Linked DNA regions of Mytilus edulis. The main gene of each other region encodes a partner of the protein of the gene in region 2 in a complex. Links are inferred from orthologs where the notes say so. Each region holds a gene or a part of one and is shown on either strand. Other genes may lie near its edges.

Region 1 (7,963 bases), on a different chromosome or scaffold from region 2:
AAACCTAGCCATCACACAGTCAGTCTTTCCCTAAACATTTTCACATCATAATAGATCATTTCTGATGCAACGTTGCACATGAGATTGTTGCGAAATGTCAACAGTTCAAGAGCCTTAGAACATGTAGAATAAATGGTCATACATGTATATATCTTGAAGTTGAAAATTCCAAAAATGACGATAAGGAAAAATTGCAAAATAATGGAAGTCCCAAGCCATAGTAAAAGGATGCAAGAATAAACAAATTTCCTTTAAAACAAGATTTTTATTACATATATAGATAAGGAAACTATTGTAAGGGCTAATGTCAGTACCTTATCTAGGTTGGTGGGGTTTGTGTTGCTTAGTTTTTAGTTTTCTATGTTGTGTCTTCTGTACTATTATTTGTCTGTTTGTCTTTTTATTTTTAGCCATGGGGTTGTTAGATTATTTTTAATGAGTTTGACTGTCCCTCTGGTATCTTTCGTGCTAGATTTCATTGCCTTATCATTCATTGAATCAGTTATATTATTATGATGTCTTTTTTCATCATGATTGCATTTTTTATTGTTTTTGGTATTTTATAAAAGCAATATCTTTAAGTACATGTATATACAATAAGTGTCTTAAAATAGGGTTGAATTACACAAATGGTTTTGTCGTTGGCTTTGCTATAGAATTTTCATAAGCAATGAAGATGTAATTACTCACAATGTGGTCATTCATTATGTTCATGCATAAAGTTTATGTCCAGTGAAAACAGAACCTTTGTAAGTGATTGTGAGCTTGATGGTACTCAACATTTAAATTTAATATAGCTGCATATTAAATGTTTTATCTGAAATCAAGTGACTTATTACTATATGCTGATAGTAAACAGCAATATGTATTCCCTAACATACCATGATGACCTCTTTCTTTTTAACTTCTATATATAGATTTGATCAACAGAGTCAGTCTTCATTTCCAAGTCTGAAAATAAAGATAATTAATCATACATCATTTTGATAAAAAAAAAAAAGTTGATTGGAGTAAACACATTAACAATTCTGCGGAACCCAGTGTCTTGCCTACTTTATGAAGCTTATAAATGTTTTAGGAACTTTGACTGCAGATTGTATTTAATGTTAACTGGCAGAAAAACTAAGTCCATTCATAAGTAAAATAAGGATAAACAGGATTTTTTTTCTCTTAAATATAATTTCTGAATACTATCTATATGATCATAAACAAGCTTCTGTCCAAGTTTGGTAGAAATCCAGGACAGTTTAAGAAAGTTTTTGTGATCTTTTTTTACCCGTCCTTTTGTCAACAGCCAAACATTTCCGGTCATAAAAGTGACATGGTGAATAATTAAATTGTACTATCAAAACAAACCCTACCTTAATACCTTCTCATTATAACCAAGGTTAATTGGTTTAGTATCGGACAGCTGAACTTTACCTGTTCAGTTGACAGGTAAACTAAAGATTGTACCGGACATTGATTTGTTAATTCAAAGATATTTTTTGACATTTCAGCAGTTTGTATCTAATTACTTTATTCAAAAATATTAAATTTATTAGAAATACATTTACAAATGGTTTGTAAATATAATTTAATGAAAAATTAAAAAAGATCGACCGAACCACGTTGTTTGAACTAGTGCGCATGTGTGCAGTTGGGAAATTTAATTACGTGTCCCTGCTCTTCAAAAATGCTAAAATTAATCATTGGTTCATTTATCTAACGGTCATTTCAGGTATTTTCTTGAAGAAATAACGTGGAGAGCTACTTAAACCCAAGCTGTGTAAATGCACACAGATTTAACGTATCTGTATCTGGTTCATGTTTTACCATTGTCAACATCCGGTATCAGGAAATTGTGTTTTTTTTAAAATAAAGTGAAGTTTTTTGACAACGTTATTTTGCACAAATAAAGAGTCTAATTCAGATATAAGTACACTGATGTTGCACACTTCAAATTATGAACTGTCAATTTAACAGTTTACATCATTTCAAAGTAAAGTTTACATCATTTCAAAGTGAAGTACAAAAGTAAAGTCAAATGAAAGTACAAAAAATAATTGTTTTTTTATTGTCAATAATTGGTTACAAATGTATATGATGGTAACTGATAACCATTGTTGTCTTTCGTTTCTAAGTCTTATGAGATTAGAATGCGGATAAGACATAAAATGTCCAGCTGGCTCAACAGAAATGTAAGTACTTAATTATAACATGTATAACTCTTTACTATAAAGACATCTTCACCATAAAGACATCTTCACCACACATGGTATTATTTGTTATTGTTACTAAGTATAGCAGCCCAATATGAATCACATAGGGGGGGGGGGGGGGGGGGGGGGGCTATATACAGTATTTCCCCAGCATTGCCCAGGGCCTTTTAGCATCATGGTAATGTGGTGCTTAATAATAATCTTAAATGTGATGGCATCATGCTATCTGAAGTGGTTTTCTTTTAGATTATGTTATGGATGTGATGCTATAATTTTTAGAAACAAGATGGTATTTTAATTTCCCCTGTTTACCAGGACGAAATATCTGGGAAGAACACTGCGGGAAAGTAGCATTAGGTAGAAAACACAATACAAGACAATATCTGATTAAAGTTTATTAAACTTTAATATTAATATTTTTCAATAAAAGTTGGGAGAACAAAACATGAGTATACAGACTGTATGGGCGAAAGAACTCAAGGGGGAACAGCCACGATACCATATGAGAATTTACAAACGCTTAAACATAAAATTAACGTTCGTCAAAACAAGTGAACTTACAGCTCCAAAAATGTCTCTGAATACAGACAAAGCTGTGATGTTGGACAAGTTTTGAGGTCTAAAAGTCTATTTTTTGGAATGATTATTTTTTTTTAAAGCCAACTCTTTGCTTTGCTTGTTCAGTTGTTGTAGACGTCGATGCGATAATTTTTTCTGTTTTCGCTATTTTTCTTCAATGGAAAGAAGAAATAACCCATGGGAAATGTATTCGTATCTTGTGGCAATTTAAAGTGATGGTATCGAAATAGTTTACCTACATCTACGAGCTCTCAAAACTTCGCCAGAAAAAATGTAACGCATGCGCACATTTTCTATAAATATTGCGATGTCTTCTAAACGTTTAAATATAACGGTTTCTTGGCTCTTTCAATACACATCATTTAGACGCAGACTAGCACTTTTTTAATACAGTTTTGACCACCACAATCCAAATTTCCAACCAAATGTAACCCTTTTCTAGAAATTGGGAGAATATTCGTCACACTTAAATAAGAACATGACGCTGTACAGCTTAAACGGCTTATAAGATAATCGAAATAAGAAAAATTCGAGATATCCACAAAAATGCACTGGTTGTCATGTCAACTGTGACAACTAAAAAAAATCATTGACCTTAAATTTGTGTATTCAAGAGAAAAACACAATGTCAGCGGAAGATAGATTCTCTATGTCAGCAGAAAAATACCTTGGTGCGTTTATATAATTAGATTTTCAGTGTTTTTTACTTTATTGTTCACGAAAAAGTGGTCATAGAAGTTTAGACCTTATCGTCCTGGCATATGTTTTCATATCATCCATATTTTATCGGTTTCGATTGCAATCCCATATATTGTGACGGTTTTTTTCGGTTTCTATATTTAGAACAACAACACCACTACAACTTTACAAATTTAAACCATATTTAAAGTCGCTTTTTAAAGACTTTAATTAGAACAAATTTAAAGGCACTGGCTTATACGATTAATGGAAATGTAACAATAATAAAAATATTATTGTTACATCGGAGACTAAATGCCGGAATGCAAAGTTGGACAAGGAACCGATTAATTACGAATGTAACAATAATTATTGAGGCTACGGTTACATTGTGTTATTGTTACATGAAAAACAGCAATGTACGCTAGATTTATTAAATCTAATTAAATCTTCTATAGTTGTGTTGCTTAATTCTTTCATATGTACTAAATAATACTTGTAATAATGATAAATAATAAATATTATTATTCAACAAATGGTGTTTACCAGTAAATAGTTTTATGTATTAATGGTTTTGATGTTCTTAAGGGTAGACAGCACAAGAAATTTTTATTATTATTATTTTGCTTTAATATATGCTTTTGCATACTGATAAAGTGAATAAATTGAAGTATATAACTTTAAACTGTTAAGACAATATATATAGGTTTACGCTTATTGACCTTTTACTATCTACGTTATTACTAGGTTGATGCGTTGTGTGTATTATTCTCCGACAATACTTGTGAAGGTAAAATGTTATTTGCAGATTGGTAATTAACTCCGTGCCAGGTGCGACTGTCTATTCGGATCAGTGGATTATAAGACAGGAGGTCGCGTTTAATACACAAATTTAAAATACATTTTTAAGGTGTTGACAAATACAAGTGAATCGCCGTGGAATTATTTAATTATATTTGATGCTATTATTTTATTTGAATTCAAATAAGTAACTAAACTAAAAAATGAACCGGTTAAAGTATGGAAATTAAATTTAGTTTTCGGAATAAAATGAGATACACTCTTATGATTTATTTATGTTTTTTAAAAAGGGAAAATAGAACTAGTTTTACAAAAGCATTTTAATTGTCTTATAAAGGCAAAACATGTACGGGAACACTTAAATTTAGACATTTGAAAGCCATGATCAAAGAAAGGTGTATCTGTATTACATTTTTACCTCTAGTGTTTGTCATTAGATTTAAGCTGAGACTACTATAACACAGTCTCAGATTTAAGTGGGGTTAATCTTATGAAAAATAATTATCTGATATCATTTGGATTATGGAAGGAGCTATACTATAAAAATACATAAATTTATTACCAATACACTCGAGATCAAAGGTTAATTTTGCTGTTCAAGTTAACTTTTACTCACATATTTTTATATTTTGATTTGAGCGTGCTTGTTTTTATATGACAGTTTTTTCAATTCTCTTATCTCATTAGACGAAAGCAAACCTGCATTTGTATAGTCCGAAGTTTACAAATTGATATTCTTATTTCACATTTAAAATGAATGAACAGTTATTAAAATAAAACGGCATTCATTTCAAAATATACAACTGTTTTCTAGAGTGAAAATGAAGTCACATATGTGAGGATAAAAACTAGACGAATTACTTATATGAAATAACGGGACTAAAAATTATATATAAAAACGGAAGAATAGGTGCTGAAATATAAATAAAAGTAAAATTGAAATTAGATAACAGTGGGATAATCTATACGTATTCTTACAATCACTCTTAAAAAAATTGTTAGATTTTGTACACAGGCCATATATATCACGGACAGTTTTATATTGGTATGGTATATTTTATAAATTTTACCTGTGCACACCTGGTTCACTCGCGATCACGCATGTGATTCATTGACCTTGTTCATTGTGTATTAAATTAAACAAGCCTGCCAGGAAGTCGACCGTTAGAATACATATGTCACATTTACAATACCCCAGTAATTACCTGTATTAAGCCATGCTGATTACAAGAAGACAAGTTTTTGAACGTGGGTCAAGTTAGGTAAAAACCCAAAATAAGCTAAAAATATATGTTAGAAAAAAAAGCATTTAAAAAATCTTTTACATAGGAGATAAATCTCAGTTTATAATAAGTATCTCCGGAATTTTTTTCACTTTATTGAGACTGCTTTAACATTATTATAGCATAATTCATACAATACTTGATACTGTATCTGGGTGCCAAAAATGTAAATTTATTGACCAGCTAAAACCATTGTACGATATTATGTCATTTACAGCTTTTTAAACTGACCTCAGCATTGTACGTTGAATATTTAACCCTCTTAGAAAAAAAAGATGTTTTTTAAAGTATTTTTTAAATTATTCTTATCAATCTTAGTGTCAAGCATTACTTGATTTGATGATCTTGAAAACTATGTAGACTTCTTCAGCTTCCATTACTTGGTCGGGTAGAAAATCCATCAGCTTGACAAGTCATATTAACACTGATTAACGGACATGTCATGCCGTGTACTAGGACTTTGTGGTAATTAGATATCCGTGGTCATTAGTTTTCAAGATGGCGTCTTGCCGAGAATTTAGAGTCAATTTCAAAAATCTAATAACTCACTTATCTAGACAAATAAAGCTTTAATATTCAGAGAATATGCTTATTTATTTAACATAATATCAAATTTTTATTTTTTTGCGAATTTTCCCTTTAAGGGAGCTACCATTTGATTTTTATGGGGGGGCTAGGAAGAAAAATTTTGTCCTGCATTTTTTTTTAGTTGTAATCTCTGTCCTGCCTTTTTATTTTTCACTCTATTCGGTCCTGCCTTTTTTTTTATTAGTTTATCCTGACTTTTTTTACCTAAATTGTCATCCTGCCTTTTTTTTTTTGCAAAGTGTCTCATCCTGCCTTTTTTTTTACTCAAAACTCCTGTCCTGCCTATTTTTTTCAAATTTCATCCTAGCCCCCCCATAAAAGTCAAATGGTAGCTCCCTAAACTCTCTTTGTACAATAGATAATAAACTTGCAAAATGCATTAGTTGTGCATCATTGTCCAGAAAATACAGACACAAATTGTGAAATACAAAGAACTGAAATCAAACAAGAGGAAAACATAAAATGTGAATATTTTTGATCATTTTATTTTGTGTACTGCCTCATTTTACGATATTTGTCATGTTTATGCATAGTTTAATGTTGATTGAAGACTAATTAAATGAAATTAATGACAATCTTCAGTTTTCAACAGGTGTTCACTATTTACAATGATTGTATATTCTGGCACATATGTAATTGTATAGTCTGACGTTTGTACAAAGTTGAAGGTGTTAATTGGATGTTATTGTAGCAATAAAACAAGGGACACACGCCTTGTTAATCTCATTTTATTTTTCTCATTGTGTGTACCCTAGGGTGAAGCCACATTTAATGTTGTTCCTATCAAGAACAATGAATTATACTGCTAGAAAGGAAATATTATTTCATGTTTTTGTACATACATTATCTTAAACATATTCTTTATATTTAATAAAACTACACAATCCATTTCTTTCTTACAAATGTTTAATTTCTTCATCTATCAATATAATAATATAAACTACACAATCCCTTTCTTCCTCACAAATGTTTAATATCTTCATCTATCAATATATATTTCTGCCCATATACTTAAATTGGAATATTTATTTGGAATAAGTAATCTTAATAAAAAAAATATGTTTTCTTGTCGCTTCTTGTTGCTAAAATTCTTCTTCTTGACGCTTCTTGTCGCTAATTAGTGTTGAGACCCTTTTTATTTAATGTCAAAAATGTGCATCACTATAAGAGTTGTTGAAACAAATTCTGAAGGGTTAAAATAAAGTCCAGATATGTTTTTAGCCTGTCAGACACCGGATCTTCAATTAGACATGTGACTGTCATGTTTTTTTTTTGGCCATTTTAATTACAAACCAGCGAGTTAAAATTAACAGGGTTCTTATATAAAATGGTTGTTCAAACTCCATTCATTCAATATTCTATTAACTGTTCTTTTTATATATACATTAAAAGATAAAAACAGTCTAAGAATTTCAAAATTACAAGCATCTTACGTCTTTACATGATTTTCAACAACACTTGTTTTCCTGCATTTTTTATAGTGTTTCTACTTTTTATAAATATATTTCCTGGTTATTTTTGTTTAGTATTGTGGATTATAGGGCCTCTTATATCTAACTATGCAGTATGGGTTAATTTGCTCATTGTTGATGGCCATACTGTAACCTATAGTTGCATGTTATTAAATCTATTACATGTATACATCATTTGGTCTCTAGTTGAGAGAACTGTATCATTGACAATCATACCATATCTTCTTATTTTGTAATGCATTAATTTACAACTGTTATTATTAAAAGAATATTGAGATGGTGAATTGTTAGGAGAATTCTCACTCTAAGTTATAGATTTGTCAAAGTTTTTATGTAATTGCATGAAAAATAAATAAATAAT
Region 2 (7,495 bases):
AAGCAAACATATACACATTATAAAGTGCTTTTGGGAAACCTTTCTGTTTTCTATCTAATATTATTTTGAGACCTGCTTTTTCTATGAGAGATCTGAGATTGTCTAAACTTCTAGTATAACTACTGTCTTCTGAGTCAAACTCTCGCTCATCAGTGGTTACATTTTCTTTAACAAAAATCAAACCATTTTCTGAAAGTCCTTTTTGACATCTTTGAAAGAACTTTATTAAATCGTCATCTTTCAAATGTCCTAAAACCCATTGACACCAAATCACATTATAATGTCCTTCTGCTGGGCAAAAGTCTTGTAATCCAGAACAAAATCGATTCTTGACTTTTGAAAATTCTTCTCCAATGAAAGCTGGTGCCTGGTCTAAAAAATTCTGGCTGAGCTCCACCATGTCAACTTCTTTGAAGATTGGTAATAAAAGTCTTTTTGTAATTCTGCCTATTCCTGCCCCACAGTCTAAGGCCCTGGTTGTTTCTGTTTCTCCTCCACCCATCTACAAAATAGTTAAAATTCATTTGATTTCTGGCCTAAAACTATTGATCCTTTTTAACATATCTTAACAAATCAAGATCCAATAAAGTACATTCAACATATTTACACAACTTCTAATTTTGGGAGATTTTAGAGCAAAAAATCTAAGTTTTCAAAATACTTATTTCTGTTTGTTAGGCTTCAAATAGTTACCTTATACATGTTATGTTATGTATATATTTTGTGTATCAAAAAGGTAGTGATCAGCCTTAAAACATTTAGATATCAAGTCAGTCACATAAGGTTTTGCTTGCATTTCATGCAATCTTTACCTTTAAACAGTCCATTAAAAAATGTTTTTAAAAATGGCTTTAATTATTAATGAAGCTATATTGGTTTTACCGTTTCAATGGTTTACACTAGTCATTTTTAGGGCCTTTATAGGTTACCATGGTTACTGTTCAGTGTGAGCCAAAAACAAAAAAAAAGACTATAACATAAGGCCAAATAAAAAAGTATGTGTGGTTCCAGTTACATCTGAAAAAAAGTTAGGGTAGGTACATGTAGGTAGGGATTTTTTTTTATTTTATGTTTTTTTTTTTACATTGAGTCTATGGGAGCAACATTCCGACTTTAACACTGCTTAATGAAAAATGACAATAAAATCTTTAGGGTAGGCTATTTTTAAGCCGAAAAAGTAGGGACGGTAGGATAACTGGAACCACATGTACACATATATTTTTATTTGGCCTAACGAAAGAAAAATCTGTCTCAAACAATTGACTTCAGTACAACAATCACTTTTCCATAGTGGAGTTAGACATGTCAGATGTTTTCTATTATGATGTCAAAAGTTTAACAGGACAGACAATTCATGAGGAGGGGTAGGAGGGGTCCTGATCAGGATGATCCTGAAATCCCAGGCATAGAACACAAAATCCTGAGGTTCAGAATTAAAATAAATTATTAAATCCTGATATCCCGAAATTTGAAAAAAAGAATTTCTGGATCCTGAAAGGGTCAATCCCGAAATCCTGAGCTTAAAAACACCTGATCCTGGAGTCCCGATAAAGGTCCTATCCCCCCTCTATCATTCAAAATGCAAATAAATATTAAATTCTGAATTGATTGACAAGGGTCAAATGACTTTGAATAGGAGTCCATTTGTACTTCTCGGACTGCTAACTTTAAACAAATATGAACATGATGAAGGTGTTATACATGTACTATAGACGGAGTGTTGGTAGGAGGGGTCCTGATCCTGAAATCCCGGGTTTTAAAACATGAAATCCCCAGATCCCGAATTTAAATCCACATATCCCGAAATTCAAAATACACGAAATAAGAATTCCTGGACACCGAAAGGGTGAATCCTGACATCCTGAGCTTAAAAACACCAAATCTTGGAGTCCTGATAAAGGTCCTATCCCCCCTCTATCATGATTGACTATTAAGTTACATGTATATATGTAGGACTCTAAAGTGCGATGGTCACGCTAAAGTGCGATGGTCTACGCTAAAGTACGATGGTGTCTCACGCTAAAGTGCGTTGGTTGTTAGTTCGCTAAAGTATGATGGTGTATCACGCTAAAGTGTGATGGTCCAAAGGGTAAGATTCAAGGGGTTAAAACATCGAGGTTAAAAAAGTTTTGCAAAAGCTAGTATGCTAAGGTATAACATATGTGATAGGCTTCATAATTTTCCGGTAGGCTTAAGTGATTGTTTCTAAATAAACAAGTTCAACCAAGTAATAAATGCTATAAAGGTACTAATTTATGTGTCGCAAAATATTAAATTTCATGTAAAATGAATTTTTAACAATTTGGAGCGTATTCATGGTATTGAATATTTGGATAATTGGTATATATTGTCGTTCACACCAATGTTACAACCTTCCTTAGAGTCGTCATTGAAAAATTATAAATACAAAATTCGTTCATTGTCGGACAGTCAGGGGACTTACTTAAACAAGTGATTTTCTAAATCACTGATTCAAGTAACATTATTTCCATAAAGGTTGGAAGTTAGAGTTGTCTTTCTTTAACAATCACCTATTTAAGTAGTACAAATTAATCACTAGAAGAAGTGATTTAATTTTATTGTAGCCTTAAATATAAAATACTAATGATCCAGGGACTAATTATGTTTCTAAACTTATCAGAACCAACATCTGTGTTGTCTAGGATAACCAGGTCATTTCAGGTGATGACCTTGTACTGAATCTAGGATAATGACATAAAAATCACTTGTTTAAGTATCAGACCTCAATTTCCTTCCCAAAAATCACTTCTTTAAGTATCATTCTTTTAATAACCCCTACTAATTTCAACACCCCTGAACAGTGAAATTTTTATCGCGAACAGTAAAATTTTATTGCATAATCTGAAAGATGAAACCTTGAACTTCACAGGAAAAATACTCCCACTGCTGTGAAAAATCTTTTAAGAAAGTATCAGTTCATTAAATAAAGCCATTATTATAGCATTTTTTCAACTAAAATGGAATTTTCAGCTAAATGATAGCATCAAAGGCATAAACCTTGCTACTTAAAAGAAGCCAAAAGTTCATATTTTTTAATTTTACTAATTAAAAGATATTATTTAAACCTATATGTGTTTAAAATTTTGAAAAAACTAAAAAATCCCATTTTGTGACAAAACCTCGAATTTGCTACTCAAATAAGTGATTTAAAAATCACTTATTTCAGTAAGTCCCCTGACTGTCGGAATATGCAACAATAATTTTTCTATTTATAAGCTTTTAATCATGTCAAATGCGAGAAAAAGGCAATGTTCGCCTAGCTTTCTCCTTTTTCTTAGCGAGTACAAATACATGTTTTATTTTCCTACAATGTACAGTACAAACAAATGTTTAAGCAGAAAATTTATAATTCACACATAAAAACATGTATGTCTATTTTACCGTCGGACGTATCTTACATTAAAATCAACAGCATTTTAACGAGGATCAAAAGTAAACTGCCACATAAACAATGCTTCAAATGTATCCATTTGCTTCTAATAGAAGCAGGATAAGTATGCCTAGACTGTTTTGTATGTATTTAGTAAATTTGTTCACACAGAGTACAAGTCCTTCCAGCACTCGAAAAAAACATAAACATTGCGCTACAGCCGACAAAGAACGGTTAAGTTTAAATAAATTACTAGTATTAAAGTCATGGACATTTATTGTAAAAATTGTTAATAAAATATTCTGAATCTATCTTCCGACGTGTTCATTTTTGGTTTGTATAAACGACTGATAACGTCATAATCAAACTACGTTTCTTACGTCTATACTTTCGCGGACCATCGCACTTTAGCGAATACCATCGCACTTTAACGTGACCATCGCACTTTAACGTGACCATCGCACTTTAGCGTCCCCATCGCACTTTAGAGTCCTACATGTATATGTAACATGTATAATGGAAATACATGTAATTTGTAAAGTTTTATAAAAATTATACATGTATATGTACTATATTTATTATTTACCGTTATAAATGGTCTTATAAACTCTCTTGAACCGTTAATATCTGTAGGTGAAATTTTTGCAAATCCACCCAACATTCCATCAACTGTTGGAGGAATTGATTCCCAATGTTTCTTTGCATCACCGTAAAATTTCTCTGTTCCCTGATCCATGTTGTTCTGGAGACTGGTTTCCTGTGTATTGAATAGATATTTTGCTTTCTTTTAAAAATTGTGGAAACCAGTATAACATTTTAATCTCTATACTGATTATTCTCAAAATACCTATTAATAACTTGAAGTGTATTTATTTTTAACAAAATAGTTTTATAATAATGAAATTTATTCTATTTACTCGTAATTTTAGGTAATTCATATTATTATGTTTGGTTGAAGACTATATTAAACTGGTTTTCGAACTTGTTATACTATTTTCTGATTTCAAGAGATTAAGGAACCAGATTCATAAATATTTTGCCATGGATGTCCGAATAGAATAAAATTTCAGTAGTTTTGTGTTTAAAATCAAATGAGAATAGTCCAAAATGCAAGTCGAAGAGGCCAGATACTTAAAAAGGTTAGAGATTTTTAGACGATTTTTGTTATTTGATCTACATGTACACATACTTAAATATTGTCATATTTATTTAATATTATTTAATTTTTATGGATATTTTTTTTTGTCTAACGGTTAAGCATCGTTCATTCAGTACTCAGTACTGCCAGAAGTATGTCAAGATGACATTACTATTTGTGCTACATATATAGGTGCCAAAGAAAGATATCAAAATGTCCTGTCAAGAGGGTAAGAATGCCCTTTCCTGTCAGTGTCATGCTTCAAACAGTCATTTTCAGCTATGGTAAGCGTCATAATTGTGATTCGTCCGAGGTCTCAAATAATTATTGTAACTGTTATTTTAAGAAAAAGTAAATGTGTTTTCGTCAAAACCAGTCACTTTTTTATCATATAAAACATGTGTAAAAGGAATGCATTTTATCTAAATACTTACAATGTATGTTGAACAAATCTATCCCATCAAAGACAAACAAGAGATACATGATACTACAGATACAGTTAATTCTGCCTCATATCTTAACTTACATCTAGAAATTGACAATGAGGGTCGGTTGAAAACAAACTTTATGACAAAAGAGATGATTTCAGCTTCCTAATTGTGAACTTTCCATTTCTATGCAGCAAATTTCTGATGATTCAAGCAGCACCTGCATACAGAGAATATATATCCCAATTGATAGGTTATTCCCTGGCTTGTATTTCCTATCATGATTTTCTTGATAGAGGATTACTGCTCACAAATGAAGCTATAGCTATTAAACCAAGAGGACTTACTGAAATAAGTGATTTTTAAATCACTTATTAGAGTAGCAAATTCGAGGTTTTGTCACAAATTGGGATTTTGTAGTTTTTGTTTAAATTTTAAACGCATAGGATTTCTTTTGCTAAGGTCGTCAAATCACTGCCTGGATTCAAACTTTTTACTCTGATTCTAAAATCAAAAATATCTTAATTAGACTCTGTTTCATGCATGTTTTTCATGTTTTTGTTTATAAATAAGGCAGTTATTTTTCTCGTATGAATTGTTTTTCATTGTCATTGTGACCTATGGTTGGTAATTTCTGTGTCATTTTGGTCTCTTGTGGAGAGTTGTCTCATTGACAATCGTACCACATCTTCTTTTTTTATAGTTAGAGACAATATATTTAATTTTTATTGGCTTTACATAATGAACTGATACTTTCTTCAAAGATTTTTCACAGCAGTGGCAGTATTTTTCCTGTGAAGTTTAAGGTTTCATCTTTCAGATTATGTAATAAAATTCTACTGTTCGCGATAACAATTTCTCTGTTCAGGGGTGTTGAAATTAGTGGGGGTTATTAAAAGAATGATACTTAAAGAAGTGATTTTTGGGAAGGAAATTGAGGTCTGATACTTAAACAAGTGATTTTTATGTCATTATCCAAGATTCAGTACAAGGTCATCACCTGAAATGACCTGGTCATCCTAGACAACACAGATGTTGGTTCTGATAAGTTTAGAAACATAATTAGTACCTGGATCATTAGTATTCTATATTTAAAGCTACACTAATATTAAATCACTTCTTCCAGTGATTAATTTGTACTACTTAAATAGGTGATTATTAAAGAAAGACAACTCTAACTTCCAACCTTTAAATGGAAATAATGTTACTTGAATCAGTGATTTAGAAAATCACTTGTTTAAGTAAGTCACCTGACTGGTGAAGTTGAAATCATCAATTTATAAATTTTACGGATGCCATCACGAGTTGGTTGACCGTTATGAAATAACCATTTCATAGATGATATCAGATATGTTCCTTATGTCGTAACTACAATACCCTTCCCTTTTCACGACTGTGACCTACCAAATTAGACTATTTACATGATTTATAACTATTTATCATGTCTACATTTAAAACATCTCTATTCTGTAAACATGGTAGAAACATATAAATGTAACTACGTTTATTACTATTTTACATTGGGGGATGATCTCTGGTCCTGCTGGTGCTCTGGAAGGGTAATCAGATTCAGCTCCACAAGAACCACCTGTCATGTTGGTCAGGGAATTACTCAATACAAAGTTGTGATTGAAGACGTAGATTTTGAGAAAATGCATAAATGATGCTTTCAAACAGTCAAGTGTAATATATTTCATGTATATTAGAATCTAAGAAATTTAATAAATTTGAGAATGGAAATTTTAACATTTTTTGTTATTTCAGAAAAGTAAAATTCAGTAGTATTGATGTTCATCCCACAGAAAAAGCTTTGGTAGTTAATTATGAACTGGAGGCAACAATACTTGGAGAATTGGGAGATCCAATGTTAGGGGAGAGGAAGGAATGTCAGAAAATGTACGTTTATACTTTCTTGTGTACTTTCTAAATGCTGTATGGTCACTGCAATGAGAAAAACAAATAAATTTAGTTATAATCTTAAAAATCCTTCTCTTCATTGTCTGATTGTAACTTACTTTAATTCAGATTTCAGATTCTTAATTAGATTTATAAGTAATATTACATTAGTCATGTTAGTGTTGTCCATTAAAAATCATATAACATGTATACTATATATACATGATATACAAAACAATATTTCAAAGTTTCACATGCAATGACATGTATAATAATATAATTGTAACCATAATTTTAAGAATTGTTTAAATAAGTTAGTCATGTACATGTTAGTAGTACGGTTAGGAGAATTTTTGAATCATATAAAAATTTGTTAAACTCAACCATCATATATAAGTACCATCTGTTTTAAAGACCCATATCATTAATGGGTATGTATATGTTACAGGGAATTTGTGAAATCAGTGATTTTTACAAAATCACTGAAATTTCAGGGAATTTGTAAAATCACTGAACTGATTAGTGATTTTATAAAATCCCTGATTTTGACTAGTGATTTTACAAAATCCCTGAAATAATTAAAATCTTTTTTACAGATTCACTGATTAAATTCAGGGAATTTGTAAAATACATTCGTTTTTT

What was found. The genes of interacting proteins can lie anywhere in the genome.
Region 1: the proteins of kinesin-associated protein 3-like (region 2) and kinesin-like protein KIF3B are in contact, whole or in part, in a crystal structure (PDB 9IKB), measured with the Caenorhabditis elegans proteins. The link is inferred for Mytilus edulis from reciprocal best matches to the Caenorhabditis elegans genes kap-1 and klp-11. Residues at the interface, in NP_001367739.1 of Caenorhabditis elegans: Pro155, Gln156, Thr159, Ser197, Lys198, Phe199, Ser200, Cys201, His203, Thr263, Asn264, Thr267, Ile269, Lys304, Leu307, Lys308, Ile311, Phe312, Met345, Phe348, Asn349, Phe352, Lys378, Asn381, Tyr384, Leu385, Cys388, Asp390, Lys393, Glu416; in NP_001369897.1 of Caenorhabditis elegans: Phe567, Pro569, Lys644, Arg645, Leu646, Val647, Ala648, Thr649, Pro650, Cys652, Arg653, Arg654, Pro655, Met656, Ser657, Met658, Cys659, Glu660, Ile679, Val686, Glu687, Ala688, Thr689, Ile690, Ile695, Arg696, Phe697, Cys698, Gly699, Glu700.

Annotation. Positions count from the first base shown.
Region 1 is NC_092350.1:78,705,388-78,713,350, reverse strand, and holds the start of kinesin-like protein KIF3B, read right to left. Parts: upstream 3,088-7,963; 5' UTR 3,020-3,087; exon of another isoform or gene 3,016-3,019; intron 952-3,015; 5' UTR 885-951; coding exon 882-884; intron 1-881. Other genes in the region: centriolar satellite-associated tubulin polyglutamylase complex regulator 1-like, read left to right, coding at 3,406-3,451.
Region 2 is NC_092345.1:944,635-952,129, forward strand, and holds the start of kinesin-associated protein 3-like, read left to right. Parts: upstream 1-4,384; 5' UTR 4,385-4,498; coding exon 4,499-4,530; intron 4,531-6,721; coding exon 6,722-6,853; intron 6,854-7,495. Other genes in the region: N-terminal Xaa-Pro-Lys N-methyltransferase 1-A-like, read right to left, coding at 1-502, 3,978-4,127.